Canis lupus familiaris: one gene and its partner. The protein of the gene in region 2 binds, or shares a complex with, the protein of the main gene of each other region. Links are inferred from orthologs where the notes say so. Each region holds a gene or a part of one and is shown on either strand. Other genes may lie near its edges. The genes, in order: PEX5L and HCN2.

Evidence for each region.
Region 1: the proteins of HCN2 (region 2) and PEX5L are in contact, whole or in part, in a crystal structure (PDB 4EQF), measured with the Mus musculus proteins. The link is inferred for Canis lupus familiaris from reciprocal best matches to the Homo sapiens genes HCN2 and PEX5L. Residues at the interface, in NP_032252.1 of Mus musculus: Leu859, Ser860, Ser861, Asn862, Leu863; in NP_001156988.1 of Mus musculus: Glu315, Glu317, Val343, Asn347, His426, Asn453, Arg454, Ala457, Thr458, Ala460, Asn461, Tyr472, Arg484, Tyr487, Asn488, Ile491, Ile494, Ile537.

What each region holds. Positions count from the first base shown.
Region 1 is NC_049255.1:13,529,111-13,537,839, reverse strand, and holds the start of PEX5L (PEX5-related protein), read left to right. Parts: upstream 1-4,156; 5' UTR 4,157-4,358; coding exon 4,359-4,380; intron 4,381-5,093; exon of another isoform or gene 5,094-5,113; coding exon 5,114-5,253; intron 5,254-6,739; coding exon 6,740-6,811; intron 6,812-8,729. UniProt on the Homo sapiens protein: Accessory subunit of hyperpolarization-activated cyclic nucleotide-gated (HCN) channels, regulating their cell-surface expression and cyclic nucleotide dependence.
Region 2 is NC_049241.1:58,415,559-58,424,127, reverse strand, and holds the start of HCN2 (potassium/sodium hyperpolarization-activated cyclic nucleotide-gated channel 2), read left to right. Parts: upstream 1-2,844; coding exon 2,845-2,933; intron 2,934-4,570; coding exon 4,571-4,692; intron 4,693-5,467; coding exon 5,468-6,038; intron 6,039-8,569. Other genes in the region: BSG (basigin), read left to right, coding at 103-127, 268-328. UniProt on the Homo sapiens protein: Hyperpolarization-activated ion channel that is permeable to sodium and potassium ions. Displays lower selectivity for K(+) over Na(+) ions. Contributes to the native pacemaker currents in heart (If) and in neurons (Ih).

The DNA of each region.
Region 1 (8,729 bases), on a different chromosome or scaffold from region 2:
TTGGGTCATGATCCCAGGGTCCTGGGATGGAGCTCCATGTGGGGCTCCCTGCTGAGCAGGGAGCCTGCTTTCCCCTTTGCTGCTCCCCCTGCTTGTGCTCTCTCTGTCTCTCTCTCTCAAATAGATAAATAAAATATTTTAAAAAGGAAAAAAATAGTTCTTGAAAAATGCCAGACTTAACAAGCCCCTCTGCAAATGATTCTCTGTGATGATGACATTTTTCCTTCAGAAAGTTGATTTCATATATATATATATATATAATGAAAGATCTAAAAATTATCCTTTTGATTGTGAAAGTCTGTCCTGGTTTATGTCCTAAGCAGAAGTAAACTCTTTTGACAGGCCTTTGGGAAGAAACATCTTCCTTCTCCCTCATTTCCTGTTTTCTCTTTTCATTGTTTCTTTGGCTCCCACAACAGTGGTGTTTGTGGCTATGCTGACACTGTGGATCTTTAAAGAACAGAGGGGATATGGGACCCAAATGATGTCAAAGAATTGAAAAGATTAATATTATAAAAGAGAGTCAAGAGGAAAGAGGCATATTAAATGCAATAAACAAAACATTCACTTCACCATAGTACCACACTAACCCCAAGGGACATAAGCAATAACTGTAGCATGAATCTCCATATTTTTTTTAAAAAAAACAAGCTTTTATCCCTCTAGAAACATAATAGAGGAAGGGTAAAGCCCTGACCCAGTCGTTTTACTGCAAAGTAGACTTTCAAAGTCTTTGGCAATTTTATGAATCTCTCAATCACACTTTGTTTACTTACTTTCTTATTATGAAAGAAATTCATTCTTATTTCAAAGAGTACTCCCAAGTATAAAGAGAACAGATAGATTATGCATAACTCCATTTCTCAGAGAAAAGGACTTTCAATATTTGGTATGTATCCTCACAGATTTTTCTTCTATAAATGTATATCATATCATTGTAAATTTCCAAAGAGAAGCATGCAGTTTTTCCCCAAAAGGCCTTTGTTCTCACTTTCTTGCCTCATGATTTCTAGCCCCTCATTTTCTGGCATCTACAGTTTTACTTTCTTCACTAGTCGCCTCTTGAACTATAAGTGTACTCAGTACCTTTATACAAGGGAGAGGGAAACTACAATTTTCCCAGTATTTCCCTCCTCTCATTTGTGTCATTCCATTCCCTCTTCCCTCCCACTATTTTTTTAAACTGTGGGAGAATCTTTAGCACACGATTTACTGTCTTGATATGTTTTTCCCTTTTTGTCTTTTCATTCAAGCTTGTGTAAGCAAAAATAAGTCCTTTCTCATCTCTTTGCTCCCTTACTACCAGTGTCGCCACTAAGTCATTCTGATTTTGGTTCCAGGAAGTCAGGTCCTTGATGGCTGCCAGGATGCCCAACACAAGGGAAGTGTGCAGGGTACACCCTTACTTGAACTTTCATCAGCATTTGACAATGTCTAGAGTTCTTTTGCCTTTGACTGCATCCTTCTGGTTCTCCTCTTACATGTCCAACCATTCCTATTTGGCCTCCTTCACTGGGTTCTTTTCTTTGGCCCATTCTTTAAACATAATTTTTCTCCAGGACTCTGGCCTTAGTCCTTATCTCTTCTGTTTTCTTTTTTAATGAGCTCATCCACTCTTGTGATTTTAGTTATCCCCAGAAATCCATACGACCTGCCCTTATCTCTCTTCTGAGCTATAGACCCATATACCCGAATGACCGACTGAATCTTTCCAATGATATCACAAACTCAGCACATACCTTTTCAGCACATCATCTCTTTTCCCAATCCTCCTCCCTCTCACTGAGCCCCTATTCAGTTTGTCGCAACACCATTTAATAGCTGTAATAGTGTAAATAACAGCTGAGACATTTTTTTAAATAATGCAAACTTGACCACTGAAAGAAGTAATATTTGCATTCATCTTGACATCTGTAGTCAATCACAAATTGCTCTGAGGGCTAATTCATACTATTACCTCTAAAGACAGATGGCTAGAGAATCTGGTAATTCAAAGTCCATTGGTGACTGTGAATACAATTACGGTAAATTGCAACCTGGTTGTAATTGTCTTAAAAGTGAAGAGAAAGGAAGGAGCTGTTGCTAGTGAATGTGGACCACTCTTTCAAGTTTGACAGTGAAGAGATAAGAGATTAAATGAATGCCTTTAGGGAAAAGGAGATGTGAGGAAGTAATCTTTTAGAAGAATGGAAACTGAGCAATTGGCAGGCTGTGGGAAGAAGGTGGAGAAGAAGGGATGGAAGACAGGGAAGATAGGAAGATAGGAATTGAACACTGACAACCACAAAAAAGAGAGTAGGGAGATCTTTGTTTCTTTTGTCTCTGTTATATATTTTTCATGTAACATTTGCTTTCCTAAATTCAGGTGTACTATTTATCATTAAATAAATAATAGTAAAAAAATATTTTAAAAATATTTGTATTGAATTTTTAAAGTTTTTATTTAAATTCCAGTTAATTAACATACAGTGTAATAATGTTAGTTTCAGGTGTACAATTTAGTGATTCAGCACGTCTGTACAACACCTGGTACTTATCACAGGTGCGCTCCTTAATCCTCATCATCTATTTAACCCATCCCCCTGCTATCCTTCCCCTCTGGTAACTGTCAGTTTGTTTTCTCTAGTTTTGTTTGCCTCTCTCTCTCTTTTTTCCCCCCATGCTCATTTGTTTTGTTTCTTAAATCCCACATATGAGTGAAATAATACGGTATTTGTCTTTCTCTGACTTACTTTGCTTAGCAAATTTCTGTCTAGCTCCATCCACATGGTTGCAAATGGCAAGATTTCCTTCGTTTTATGGATGGATAATATTCCACTACATATATATATATGTCCATATGTGTATATCTATATGTCTATATGTGTATATATATATACATACATAAATGTATATACATATATCACATCTGTTATCCATTCATCAGTTGATAGAAATTTGGTTTCTTTCCATAATTTAGCTATTCTTGATAATGCTACTATAAACATCAGGGTGCATGTATCCCTTTGAATCAGTATTTTTAGATCTTTTGGGTAAATACCCAGTAGTGTTATTGCTGGATCATAGGGTAGCTCTAATTTTAACTTTTTGAGGAACTCCATACTGTTTTCCACAGTGGTTATGCCAGTTTGAATTTTTATATGTAATCTTTAACCTTTATATTTATTTGCATTATTATTCTGTTGTCAGGCAAAAATTGCAGTTGAAACTAATTCATGCAATTAACTAAATAATGTGTTTCTTAACCTTTTTAAAATCTCCTTCATCTATTCCACTCCTAAATATGAAGAATCCTTTTAATTTGACCCATATACAACTAGTGTCTTTCAGTTAAAACTCTTTTTAAGCTCCTATTCTAAAATGAACATAGGGAGCTTCATTTTTCAGGTCCCTATCCCATCAGATTTTGTTGTTCTGTCTTGTTTTGTTGTTACTTATTTGCAAAATTTTCTTACATAGTGCATTCTCAATCTGTGGTCATGTATTGTTTTTCCTATACAGCTTCTAAGTTTTATGGTTTACTTAATTCAAGTGAGTAAGCCCATCTCTCTGTTCTATTTTTGTGGAGGAGAGAATGAAGGGGTGGGAGGCAGGAAGGAAATAAGGTTAAGGAGAGATGGTGGAATGTCTGCAGAGAGGAAAGGTTACCACTTAGACTCAATATTCTAAAGAAAACTATAGATCTGAATCAATGGTATTTTAAAAGCACTAAGAAATAACTAAATAGTTTTCTTTGCAGTTACTCAGAAAGGATTCAGAATGGTGTGGGGAAGATGGGAGATGCTGCATTTGGGGGTTGACATTGGACACTTCTGAGCTGAAAGCTTCTTGTAAAGAGTGAGGCATTTTTGGCGAAATGACTGTTTTCTTTCTTTCTTTCCTCACATCTCCCACCTTCAAGTCCTCACCATTTTAACTCCGCTACACTGATGCTCTCTTCTCAGCTGCACATAGGTGAGCAGTGCCCAGAATCGACCCGCAGCAGACAGCTTGCTAAGGCTGAGGTGGAGAGGGCCCGACCTTACTGCCTCAGTTGAAATCCTCAGCTCCAGTGTGTGCCAGGGGAGGTGGGAGGGGCACAGGAAGTGACTACCCTCTGGCTTCTCCTCCCACAGAAGCCCTGCCTCCTTAACGCTTGGACAGTGAAGAGGTTAGCTTTCTTTCTCCTTCTGGTTCAGTCCTTTGCCTAAAGTGAAAGACCACGCAGAAGCTATGGAGTTGCTTTTTGTGCTTGACAAAAGTGCATAGATAGAAGACAGGGATTCCTGGCTGGGAGGAGGGAGGAGAGCTGAAGATCCCTGCCTGGGCTGGCTGATCTAAGCAGTCAAAGTGGGAAGCTGAGTGCTTGAAAGAGGATTATGCTCGCACTAGAAATAAGCAGTAAGTGAGCGAATAACCATTATGGTTTAGAAAAGGATTAATCCCCCTGGGGCTATGGGGTGAGCTAGAAAATATCGCTTAATTCTAGAGTAAAATTGTAAGGCTTCTGACTCTGTGTACAGTTGGGTGCTGCTTGGAGACTGGGGCTTAAATACAAAATCAGAGCTCTAAATGCCTCCTCCCACTCTTGGAAAATGCCAACTTCTACTTAGAGTTGTGGATATAATCTTCTTCCCTGACCTAGCCTCTTCCCATTAAAATATACTCCTAACTCAGATAAGGAGTTGGGATTAAATTGGAGAGGTGGGATTTGGTGGTGGTCGAATTGCAGTCTTGAATTATGTTTGGTGAATGCCGACATTGTTATATCATTTAGCAGTGATTTGCTCATCACAAGAAATTCTGGGGTGAGGCATTAAAAGGGAAAAATTGAGAGCTTTTATGATAAAGAGGCTGAATAGTCTATATGCGTAGGATGAAATATAAAAATGTATATAATTAATAATAGATGGAGTGTTTTAAAAAGCATTAACTAGAACAGTAGTTGGGGAACCTAGAAGTGCTAGGATAAAAATTAGTTAGAAAGGAAGAAATTTTAGTTTCAATGATTTTTTTGTGCTAGCCAAAAATTTCACAATGTTTACAAAGTCGAGACTATGATTCAGGGATACTTTGATTATTGTCATACATTATAAATACTCTTGCTGGGCAAGATCTGTGGTTCTTTGGTCAGCAAGTTCTGGCAATGAAACCACTGCCACTGGTGCAAAGAATTCTGGGATGTCTGACAGTGAAATGGATGGAAGGACCCACATTCCATCTCTACTTAATGTCCTTTTGTCCAGAAATCGGGTCATGCAAATGAGCTACTTGGTACGTATACAGATCAATATTCGGAAAGACATTTTTAAATGTTTTGTGTTAGGGGGTCTCTGGACAATATCTCATGGCAACCAGTAGACTAAGAGGATACAAAAACAAAGTAATAGGGAGGAAGTCAGCTTGATTGAAACCAACCCCATTCTTTTTGTTTTCCATCAATCGCGAAATGGAACCTCAAATGAGGAGAAGAAGAATAATGGATAGAAATACTGTGGCCATCTGTTCTATTCTAAGTGGCTAAATTCATTAATATATGAATGAGAATTCAGATTTTATTTGTGCATCCTAATACTTGAAGATTCAGAAATCTCTTTATTACAGGAAAAAAACCCCACAAAAATAGGAGGTATATTTCTTAGGAAGGAAGGGAAAGAAAACATAAGAATTGTGTCCCATAGGTTAAAGAAGATTTACATCATCTTTGCTGAAGGATATAGTTCTACCCTTAATGAGATGGGGATCCTAATATGGCACAATAGATGCAAATAAATATTTTTAGTTCCCTTAATTCTGATTGATGGAATTAAAGCAAGCATTGTTTCTTGTTTTTTCTTTTTAAAATAATAATCTTGGATCATAGCTAACTATGTAGTGAATTTTATTTTCCCTTTCTTACTGGTCCTCTACAGAGGTACTATGATTTCTGAAATCATGAAGAAGGAATCTATCATTTCTGGTATTGCTATCAGCCAGTGTATTGGGAGAAAGAAAAAAAAAAGACTCAGACGTATTATCTTTCTCCTATAGCACAACACTGAAATGGTTAAAATGATCTATGACCTTTTCTAACTTTACAACTTTTGCTGTGGGGAAGGTAGATGGAGATTGGTCATGGGGGAAAAAGACAAAATGCCAATAAAGTGCATTTTTAAAAAATGGTCTGTATTCTTTCAACTTTTCAAACTACCCAAGTTTGAAAATTATTTTACTCATCTTTTAAAAATTATTTGAGTTGGTTTTTCCAGTGTTAGTTTTCATCAGATTTATAAGCAAATGCTGAAAATCTGAAGACTCGTTATCTGAGTTGTATAATGCTTGTCTTATTCTTTAAGATATAAAAGATATTAAAATAAACATTTAATAGTTGATATCTTAAAGCAGACCATAATTACTAAATGCAATTTCAGTCCTTAAGAAAAATGGGCTCGGACTCTTAAGGGAATTGTATATCTATCTCAAAATTTTAAAGAATGTGTTTTGAAATTACAAAATTGAAAAAGGCATAGCAATATTCAGAAAAGGATTAAAGGTATAATTTGAATGAGAGAGGCTAAGGAGAAATACTTGATGAGTTAATTATAAGCCTGCAGTTTAACAACAAAACATTTGCTGTTGTCCATGAGAGACTGACGTAAAGAATGATGTATTATGACTAGTGAACAAGGCTAAAACTTTTATCTTTAAAAATTATTAAGTGGGAGTTAACCTTATTAATGGAAAGAAACTAAATGATCATTTAAAATTATTCTTTCACAAGAAAAGTAAAGAAAAAGGATATGGAAAACTAAGCAGTGATGAAGACCTCGAAATAATTGTTGATCAAAAGCAGGTAAGTGAATGCTTACATACATTTTCTACTGTTGTACTGTAGATCTTTGACAACTGAAGCCCTTTGACTGTTCAGCCTGCCTTGGTGGCTGTATTAGCCTGTCAGGCAGAGGTCTGCATAACAAGATAGATTTTGAGAGCTGCTAAGCCTCTCTATATGATCCCTCTGATCCACCGACTTCTGCATGATGTCAACATGCATGTTCTGTGTGTAGGAACAATGAAAATAAAGCAGAACAAGATAAGAGAACTTTTGGGAAATCACATGCCCTGGTAAAAACTGAATCAATACAACAATGATAATTTGGTTGGGGAAAAAAATGTAAACAAGAATCAGTATGTTATTTGGAAAGTGAGAAAGCTAACATTAGTGTAAAACAATGAGTATACTTTAAGGGGAAGGGAGTAAAAGACTAAAAAAACTGAGAAACTGAAAACATATATGCCCAATTTACTTTATCAGAATATCTGCAGTAAATGTAGACATTATTTTAAAAATATAAAAAGAAGAAGCTACTTAATGTTCTTCAATACTGCCTGTAATTTGAGAAGCATCTAGCTTGGATTTTATATGGGCCCATAAGGTGAAATGAAAACTGCTTAATAGACCATAAACAATGATATCAGGTAATGGAAAGTATCCAGCTAATGCCACTGAATTGGCATTGGCCCTTAACGTCTTTGTTAATTATCAAGGAGACAGGATAACTGCACATCTATTTAATGTGTAAGTGGCACTGATTCTGAAGATGATGTAAGCTCAGATGGAGACTGAGAAATAATTCAAAGGAGTCTGCGTAGATAAAGAGGTTAGAAAGAAAACAGTCAGCAAGTTACAGAAAGACAAGTTGAATTTAGACAATGTCCTAATCGTGCAGTTTGTTTTGCATCATGACAATTGCATTAAAGGAGCCATTGTGTATATTTCTGAAAAAACAAAAAATGACCATCAGAAGAGAGCAATCAGAAGTAGCTGAGTTGGAGACTTGCTTCCTAAGTCTGAATAACTGAGGTAACTGAAGTAGTCTTCTGGGGGGGGGGGGGAAACTCATCAAACAAAGCATCACCCCAGAGGTGCAGAATGGGATGATCTTATAGTATTCTCTCAAACTGCCTTTGAATTCTTTTTTTCTTGCCTTATCTTCACTCTCCTGCTCCTGAGTAAATTGGTAAGTGAGGAATTTGGACCTGTATGCCAGATTAATTACTTGGGGCACATGATCTCCATCTCTCACAGAGCCTATACCTAGATCTACTGGCATTCTCAGTGAAGGACAGGACCCATCCGGTGAATGAACCTGTAAAATACAATTGAGTATATTATGGGAATACACATACCTATCCATTTATCTATTAAAATGAAAAGTAAAGATTTTTAAAATTTCTTCCTTAATCATGTAGACGTTAAATGTTTACTCTTTGTAGTACTTTCTTAGTATCATCCTACCCACAAGGGCTGCTTTTTTCCCCCTAAAGCTTTTTGTTTGTTTGTTTGTTTGTTTGTTTTAACTAACTTTGGGGATTCAGAAAACCATAAAAGTATACATTGAGCTCTTTGGAATGAAAAGCCCAAAGGAGTCATTGTTTTGTTTTTTTTTTCTTTCTCATGGTAGCTTTCACAGCATTTATGTTGTTGTCTTTAAATGCATTTTATTAACTGTTAAGAGAACCAACTTTCCTTCTGTTTCAGAAAATAATGCTTTTCTTACCTGGCTCAAAGGAGGGAGGATTTGACTTGCCCAGTCATCGTTTGCCTCTATAGTTAATTACGTTTCCCCAGTGCCACTGTACCAGTTGGCACCAGTTGGCAGTGACCCAGCTTTGCTGAGTCATTCATGTCAAAACACGTTTTAAAAGACAAGTCATTATGAATATGAGTTGGCTTTCATGTTTGCTGTTGGCAGTAAGACTAGTCCTTC
Region 2 (8,569 bases):
GGGCGGGGCCTGTAGGACCCGTGTCACCCTGCTAGGGGCCTTGTCCGGGGACCACTCCTCACGGCCTGTCCTCTTCTTGCATGTGGCTGCGCATCCACACAGACGAGGACACGGGCTCTGCTCCTCTGTAAGTCGTGGCCTCGGGCGGGCGGGCGGGCTCCCCTGGGCAGGGCTAGCGGGGCTGCTGGCCCTCCAGTGGGCACGTGGTGGGGCTGGGGCCGCCGTCCTGCCCTCCTGAGCTTCGGGAGCCGTCCTTCCTCTCCCCAGGAAGAGCAGTGGGCACGTCAACGACAAAGGCAAGAACGTTCGCCAGCGGAACGCCAACTGAGGTGAGGCGTGGAGGGTGCAGGGGGTGGGGGCCCCGGGCCTCGGGCTGGGGTCTGAGCCTCCGTCTCGCCCTGCACAGGCCTCCCGCCTCCGCCTGGAGCAGCCGCGAGCAGCTCAGCGGCTGGTGTCTGCAGATTCCACGTTCTTTCCTCTCACAGGAGACCCGCCCCACGAAAGCAGACCACACACCGTGGGTCAGATCACACTTTTCTTTCCTTTTTTAAACTAAACTAGGGTTTTCTACATAGAATTCCATTCTTTAGGGGGTTTTTCCTTTTTAAACATTTTGTGAGCGTCTCAGGGGAGCCGTGAGCTTCCTGCGAGACTCCTGTCCTCCCCTCGTCTGCTCGGCCACCCCTGCCCGCTGTCCCCTCGCCGGCCCCCCACCGCCCTCCCGCCCGCCCCTCCGGGCCCAGCCACCCGTCCTTCGGCGTCCCTTGGGCATCTAGCCTCCTCTCCCCTCGTGGGGGTCGTGGAGGACGGACTGGCCCATCTCTGGGGCTCTACCTCCTGGGGCTGCTGGGCCTTGTTGGGACCCCTGTGCAGGGTCACAGGCCGTGCACGGTGCAGGTGCAAGCATCCTGCCTGCCCAAGTCCTGGCTGGCGGGTTGCCTCGGGTCTGTGTTGTGCGTGGGACGGCTCTGACCACGTGGCTGCTGGCGGGCCCCGCCCGCCCCTCCCCGTCCCTCCCCGTCCCTCCCCGCTCCTGCCATCCACCCGGTTGCAGGGGAGTTGCCTGGCCACCGGTGCTGCGGGTCTGCTGTTATGGCAGCTGCAGGACCCCCTCCCAGCTATTCCCCAGCTGCTCCCCAGCTCCCGACTCGCCCGCCACCTGCCTGCTCACCAATAAAGAAAGCCTGACCCGTCTCGTTCTCGGGCTCCTGTGCACACCGCCTGCGTCTTCTGGAGAGCTTGTGGGGGTGGGAGTGCCCCTGGTGCTGAGTCCTGGGGTGCAGTTGGGGTGCATGGGAGGGGCTGACCGGCTGGCCAGGAGCTTTGTTCCCAGGATGAAGGCTAAGGGTAGGGATGGGATGTGGGGGGCAGAGGACCATGGGGGCCATGGGCGTGTTCAGAGAAGGACTTGGCCCCGTGGCGGGTGTGAGCTAGGTTCCTACGTCCACGGGGCCCGGGACTCCTTCCGGTGGGTCCCCCCGGACAGGACCAGACCCAGACCCAGACCCACAGCTGCCTGGCACCTGCCTGCCCCAGGCCAGAGGTTCCCTGTGGTGTGAGTGGTGTCTGGGGAGCGGGGGGTGTCCAGGACCCCACTAGTGGGCCCAGCCTGGACGGGCAGTGCCACCCGTGGTGACAGAGGTGGCCCTTCTGAGACTGGCCCCCAGGACGAGGGGTCCCTGTTCGGCTGAGCCCAGCCTGACTCCTGGGGGAAAGGACAGTCTGGACACTGGGTGGTGCTGGGTGGTGCTCTGGGAACAGGAGGAGGCAGGGCCTTGCCACTGAGGCCCCCGCCTGGTGCCAGAGGGGAAGCTTCTCAGAGAAGGGGACCCCGCTGCCCACCTAGGGCCTGAGCTGACCCAGCGCCTCCCCTGTGGACCTGGGCACAGGCCTCTGGCCCGGCCAGAGCTGAGGTCCCAGAGCGGCCAGAAATCAGGGTTCGGGGGGAGATTGGTCCTTTTCAAGGCTGGCAAGTTAGATCCCGCACAACAGTGTGAAGAGGGGGTCGGCCCACGAGCCACGGGTGGGAGGCCCGGCCCCCGGGGGTGGCTTTCTCAGGCCCCGGGCCGCCTAGCGTGTCCGCCCGGCTGGCCACATGCTTGGGCCTCCAGGCAACGGCAGGTGGTTCCCCTGGGCTTCTGTGGCCGGAACAGGGTCCTTTATGGGGCCCCACACCTTGGCCTGGGGGGCTGTGGGCCTGGCCCTTCCCGCTGGCCGTCAGAGGGAGCTACGCGCCTGCCACTGAGCAGGGTTTGGAGGCCACGGGAGCCCCTCGTTTACAGAAGGCCTCTGGGGTTGCACCCGCCTGGCCCTGTAGACCCCGCTGCCCCCTGCTGGACAGGCCTGGGCCAGCCTCCCTAAGCCCTAGGGCGCCCTGGGGCACGAGCCGCGCACACCGGGGGGTGGAGGATGCGCCTTCCTCCTGGTCCCTCTGCGACGTTGACTGAGCAGCCCCGGCACAGCTGGGGTTGGGGTCCTTGGTGGACGGGCAGCGGTCGGGGGGCCCTGATGAGCTGGCCCATCCCTGGGGGTGCTGCCAGGGCTCAGGGGCAACCTCCAAGCTCCCCCGAAGTCGGGGGTTCCTGGGGGTGTCCTCTGGGAAGCCAGGGCCCCGGGGCCCAGTGCGGGGGGGCAGAGCCTTGGGTCCCAGAGGGGTTTCCTGGAGCAGGACCTGTGGGGGGTTGAGGCGAGGCGGCTGAGGCTCAGCCTCCTGACCCGTGGAGATGCCCCCACGAGGTCGCCCTCCGAGCCCTGAAGCCTCCATCCATCCGGCTCAGCCTCAGTTCCCCCACAGTGGGATGGAGACAGCACAGGATCGGGGGGCAGAGGAGCAGGGCACGAGCGATGTGCCCCGCGGCGTCCCTGGGCCCACAGACGGGGACACTTGTCCCAGACCCCTGCCCCTTGCAGTGGGGGCCCCCAAGGGCTCTCAGGTCAGCAGCAAAGGAGCGATTTGGGGGCCTCACCCGGCAGCAGAGAAGATGGGACAGAGGTGTTGGGGTCATCAGTTTGGCCCTCCCACTTGCTGGGGAGTGCGGTTTCTGTAGGGAAAGGAGAGTCCCGGTGAATCTGCGGTTGGCTGACCCGGGGACCCCAGCTGGGCCGTGTGACACTGGGAACCGGGTGGTGGGATGCCCCGCCTGCCGTCACTGGCCGCCCTGGGCAAGGTGCTGGCGCGGGTGGCTCCCAGACTGAAGCCAGGGGTCCTGCCGCCAGCTGATCACACAGCATGTCCCTGAGCCGCGGTGGGCTCTCCTGGTGGCCCCTGATGCTCAGAGGGTCCCCAAGCTCGGGGCCTCGGGCCTTTGCACCTGGACTTGCCCCGACTAGAGAGGACGCAGGGTTGGTCGGGAGGTGCCCTCAGAGCCCGTGCTGGGGCCCAGTAATGCTCAGCTGATGGGATCGGGGCTTCTTAGCAAAGGCAGCTTCAGGCCGCAGACTGTTGTGAACTCGGGGTCTCACAGCCGTGCACCCTCCGCTGTCTGAGCGTCCACCCACCCCGGGAGCCTCAACAGCCTTTGTTGTCCCACAAGCCAGTCACCCTCCTGCCTCAGGGCCTTTGCCACCTGCCAGACGCTCTTCCCACAAATGTCCACGTGACACCAGCCCTCCCTTCAGACATCACCTTCCCCCCGGGGAGGCCTCGGGACCTCAGCCCCAGCACCTTTGTCTTCCCTCTCTGGCTCTGAGTTGTGTAGCGCTTAACCACCTTCCAAGGGATTTGTCGTATCTATTAAATGTAAGGTTTACTATGGTGAGTGTCCTTCCGCCCACCTCGCAGCAGGGTGCCCGTGGCCCAGGTCCCAGCCCACTGGTGCTGAATAAATGTTTGTTGAACGAATGCAGGGCATTGCGCCCTGGCCGAGTGTGGAGAGGGGGTGGGAGAGACCGGGGGGCTGGTGGCTGTCCAGGATGGAGCCTGTGGGACGGGGAGGAGTCGTCAGGACTTGGGGGCCGGGTCCCCAGGGCCCAGGGAGGGGCTGAGACCCCCCCCAAGGTGACTCCCAGTCCAGGCCCGCCTCTCCCACTCCAGGCTCGGTGGGCCCGCCTCCTCCCCGCTCTGTGCGGGAGCCCTGGGGCGCTGGCGGCCTGCCCAGACTGACAGGCTCCCAGGGTGAGCATAAAAGATCCCCCTTCAGCTGGAACACACATCTGCCCGGGGCGGGCTGCAGCCTGGCACTGCCAACCCTGCTGCCCGCCCAGCTTCCCCTCGCCGCCTCAGGACGCGCAGCCCTGCCGCCCACCCATCCGGCTGCAGGTCTGGCCCGCGGGCGGGAGCGGCCCCTGGATGCCTGACCTGCTGGGTAGAAGCACAGGAGACCCAGGCCTCTGTCCACCCCTGTCACCCGTGGGCACCTGCTGTGTGCAGAGACACGCTGGCGGGTGGATGCACCCATGGGAGCAGGCATGAAGGTGGAACGTTCCTTCCCGGGTTCTCCAGGTCCCTTCTCGCTCCTGTGTCTCTGCCCGCTACTTGCCTCTTGGGACACCTCCTCCTCCCCTCTGGCTGTGCTGGGATGGGGGCCGGCGGCTAGGGACGGTCCCGGGCCTGTGCCCTCGTGTCCCCTAGCACCAGACAGCCCCCCAACCTGATTCCAGCCCGGGACACGGAGCCTCAGGCATCCTCCCAGAGCGCGGGGCCGAGTGGCCAGCAGGGCCTGAGCCCCGGGGCCAGGGCAGTGGGGCCCTCGGGTGCGAGTCCGCGGCCGCCCCGGGCCCCTGGGCACGTCCCCGTTTGAAAGCCCACCAGCGCCCGGGAGATGAGCCGCCGCGGACCCTCAGGGCGCTGTTTGGGGGCCGCATCAGCGCCGCCGGGGGGCGCCCCCCGTGGCCCCGGTTCCTCCCTTGCGGGCGGGGGCGGGGGCGGGGCGGGGGCGGGGGCGGGGGTGGCGGTGCGACCCCCGCGCTCGCACGTCCCCGCGTCCGCGCCCGCCCGGGCCTTCGCGCCGCAGAGCACCGGCCCTTCTGACCTTTAAAACCCTCCTTTTATTACGGAAACTCTCGAGCCCACGGAGGCGGGAGGCCGGCGCGGCCCCGGGGACGGCCCCAGCGCGGGGAGGCCGTGGCTGAGGCGCGGCCGAGCCCGGTGACCTTGGGCGCGTCCTTCCTCCCGCGGGCCTCAGTTTCCCTTCTGCGACGAGGTCTGAGCGCGTCGCCCGGGCCTCCGGCCGCGCGACCTTGGGCCGTCCCCGCCTCCTCCGCGGCCCTCAGTTTCCTCCTCCCCGGCGCGGGGCCCGGGCGCGGCGCGCGGGGAGGGGGTTCCGGCCGGAGGGGGCCGCCCCCGCCCCTCCCCGCCCCGCCCCTCCCCCGCGCCCGCCCCCCGCGGGCTTCGCGCCCCTGCCCACGGCCCCGCATCCCCCCCTCGGGCTCGGGCCGGCGGGCGCGGCGGCGCTCCTCTCCTCACTTCCTGACCTCCCTCCGACTCGCCTGGCGCGCGGGGGGTCCGAATCTGCTCCCCCCCGGGCAGTCAGGGCGCTCCCCCGCGCCCCCCCGCCCCTCCTGCCCCCGCCTCCAACCCCCCCCCCGAAACTTTCCGGCCCGCCCCCCACCCCGCCGCCGGCGCCCCGGGCCGAGGCGGCTCCGCCGGAGGCGACGGACGAGGGCGGCCCGCGGGCCCGGCTCCGCAGCCGCGACAGCTCGAGCGGGCGGCCGGCCACCCCGGGCGCGGCGAGCACGGCCAAGGGCAGCCCGAACGGCGAGTGCGGGGCGAGGCGAGACGCAGTGCAGCCCGCGGGGCCGGAGGGCCCGGCGCGCGGCGCCAAGGTGTCGTTCTCCTGCCGCGGGGCCGCGGGGCCGGGGCCGGGGCCGGGGCCGGGGCCGGGGCCGGCGGACGAGGCGGGCAGCGAGGAGGCGGGCCCGGCGGGGGAGCCGCGCGGCAGCCAGGCCAGCTTCATGCAGCGCCAGTTCGGCGCGCTCCTGCAGCCGGGCGTCAACAAGTTCTCGCTGCGGATGTTCGGCAGCCAGAAGGCCGTGGAGCGCGAGCAGGAGCGCGTCAAGTCGGCGGGGGCCTGGATCATCCACCCGTACAGCGACTTCAGGTACCGCGCGGCCGCGGCGCCGGGGCTCGGGGACGGACGCGCGGCGGGAGGGCGGGGCCGCGCGCCCCGGGGGTGACCTCGGGCCCCTCGCCGACCCCCGGCGCGCCCGGGACCCGCCCCGCGAGGCCCCGCCCTCGGAGGGGCGCGGGAAGCGCGCAGGCCCGGCCGAGCCCCCGGCGCGCCCCCTCCCACGCACCGCCCTCCCGCGCCCGCGGGCCGGGGTCTGAGCGCGGCCGGGCCGGGAGGACGAATAGAGGGGAACGTGGGCGCCGGGAGGCGGCGGCGCGGAAGGAAGGCGGAAGGAAGGGCGCTCGGGAAGGACGCGTCCCGGAGAGGCCGGCGGCGCGGGGTGAAGGGCGCGGGGCCCTCGTCCAGCGGCTCCGCCCGCGCCGCGCGCCCCAGGGAGGCGCCTGCAGGGTCCCGGCCGGGGCCGCGGGGCGGCGTGTCCGCGTGTCAGTGGGTGTGTAGACGTCGGTGTGGATCAAGGCGGCGGATGCGTGGAAAGGCTCAGAGCCGGCCCGGCCCAGGGTCAGGCCGAGGATGTCCGTGGTTCGTGCTCCCTGGCGCGTGCCCCGTGGCCTGCGGGTGCGAAGCGTGCGTGTCACTGCGGGCCGTGTGTGTGATCACGAGCATGTGACTGCAGGGGGCGTGGGCCCGGGGCCATGGGCAGAGTGACCCGGGGGCCCTAGGGGTGTGTCCGCGTGGTAGGTGTGCCCGGAGAGGGGCTGCGTGCGGGCGGCCGGGCGAGCTGAGCTGTGTGCAGGGGGTGTGCAGGGGGTGTGCACGGTGTGTGCAGGGGGTGTGCACGGTGTGCGCCGCCTGGGAAGTTTGGAGCCGTGAGGGACGCGGCCGGTCGGGCGCGGAGGGTCCAGCCGGGCGCGCGCGGCTTCAGCACCACGGACAGCGGCCCGCCGAGCCCCGCCGAGCCGGCGTCCGCAGGGGGGACGGGGCTCCCCTGTCCTGGCCCCGCTTCATAGCTCAGGAAACAGGCGCCAAGGGGCGCACAGGCCCGGGACAGAGGTGGACGCCGGCTCCTCACCCTGCAGACCTGCCCCGGGAGGCGGAGGAAGCCTGCCCAGCGGCCTGAGTTCCCCGGGGAGGAAGGGGGTCCACACGGCGGGGCTGCGGGCGGGAGAGCTCGGTGTCTGCACTCGTGATCCCGTGATCTGGCCGGCGGGCCGGGGAGCGACATCGGGCACACAGCGGGCAGGGGGAGGGGGCCGCAGAAAGTAGCCATTGCTCCGGGACTTCTCCAGCACGTCTGCCTGCAGCAGCTGCCCCTCCCCCGCCAGCAGTGGGTGGCCTCGGCGTCCTGGGGCCACAGGAGGGGCAGTTTGCAGCCTGGTGACCGGGGGCGGCGAGGGCGGGCGGGAGGAGTGGGGCTTGCTGGTCCTCGTGCCCTTCTGAGCGTGGTCACCTGTGAGGCTCCGGGCAGTCCACATGGTGCGGGCTGAGCAGATAAACCCTAAGACGTGGTGAGCGTGTCCTGTGGTCGGGACGAGGGGACACGCCGTCGGACCGAACGCTTATGATACCCCCACACTGGGATGCGGCGGGGCCTCCGGACCCCGTGTTCTGGGATCGTCGGCCCCTCCAATCCCAAACCGCAAGCCTCCTGAGGTCCTCCTGGGTCAGGTGCTGCGGGGACACCTTACTCATACGGATTCAGGTCCCGTGTGGGCCGCGAGGTGGATGCGGCCGCTGGTCACAGGAAGGGAGCACGGACGTACAGCTGCTTGCCCAAAGTCACACAACTCGTCAGGGGCAAACGGGGGGTTGATGCCTGGGCTGACGGCCCCCCGGTCCTGGCTGTGGCCCCAGCTCTGGCCCATCCAGGCCAGGAGGACCCGGGAGGAGAAAGGTCTTCTGGGGGTTGTAGAGATCGGGGGCACCTGGGCCTGGGCTGCGGGCCTGAGCGTTTGAAAGCAGTTGGCAGAGCGCCGGGCAGGGGCCCCTCTGGGCCCCGTTTCCACACTTGCCTCTTTCACATCTGACCCGGTTGCACGGATGCCATCCTCTCTGGCGCCTGCACCCTCGCACTGTGCAGGATTTGAAAGCAAAAGAGATTTTGGAGGGCGGCCCCAGGCTCCCTGCCCAAGGCCATGGGGTCGCCACTTCCTCGAGCTCTGACTTTGCTGCGTGTCTGGGAAGCCGTCCCCACGCCGCCCGGCCTGGCACACACCTGGCATCGAGAGCAGGGCAGTTCGTGTCTGGTGACCTGGAGCCACCCTGGCTGTGCCTCATGTGCCCCGGGCCGCGGCTGCCCTGACTAGACTCACGGGAGTGGGTGGAGGGAGGTGTTGGGGCGCAGAGCAAGCCCCGGGGAAAGGCCCAATGTGCAGGGTGTTGGGGGTAGTCACCAGCCCCCCTGCCCTGTGCTGCCGGTGGCTGGGCCTCCTTGCCTTGGTTTCCCCTAACTGTGAGGGGCGGGGCTGTGAGGACTACCCCAGCCATGCCGCCCGGTTCTCTGGGGATGCGGGGAGTTAATTCCTGTTCCCTTCCCCTGGACCAGCCCCAACCTAGGGGGAAAT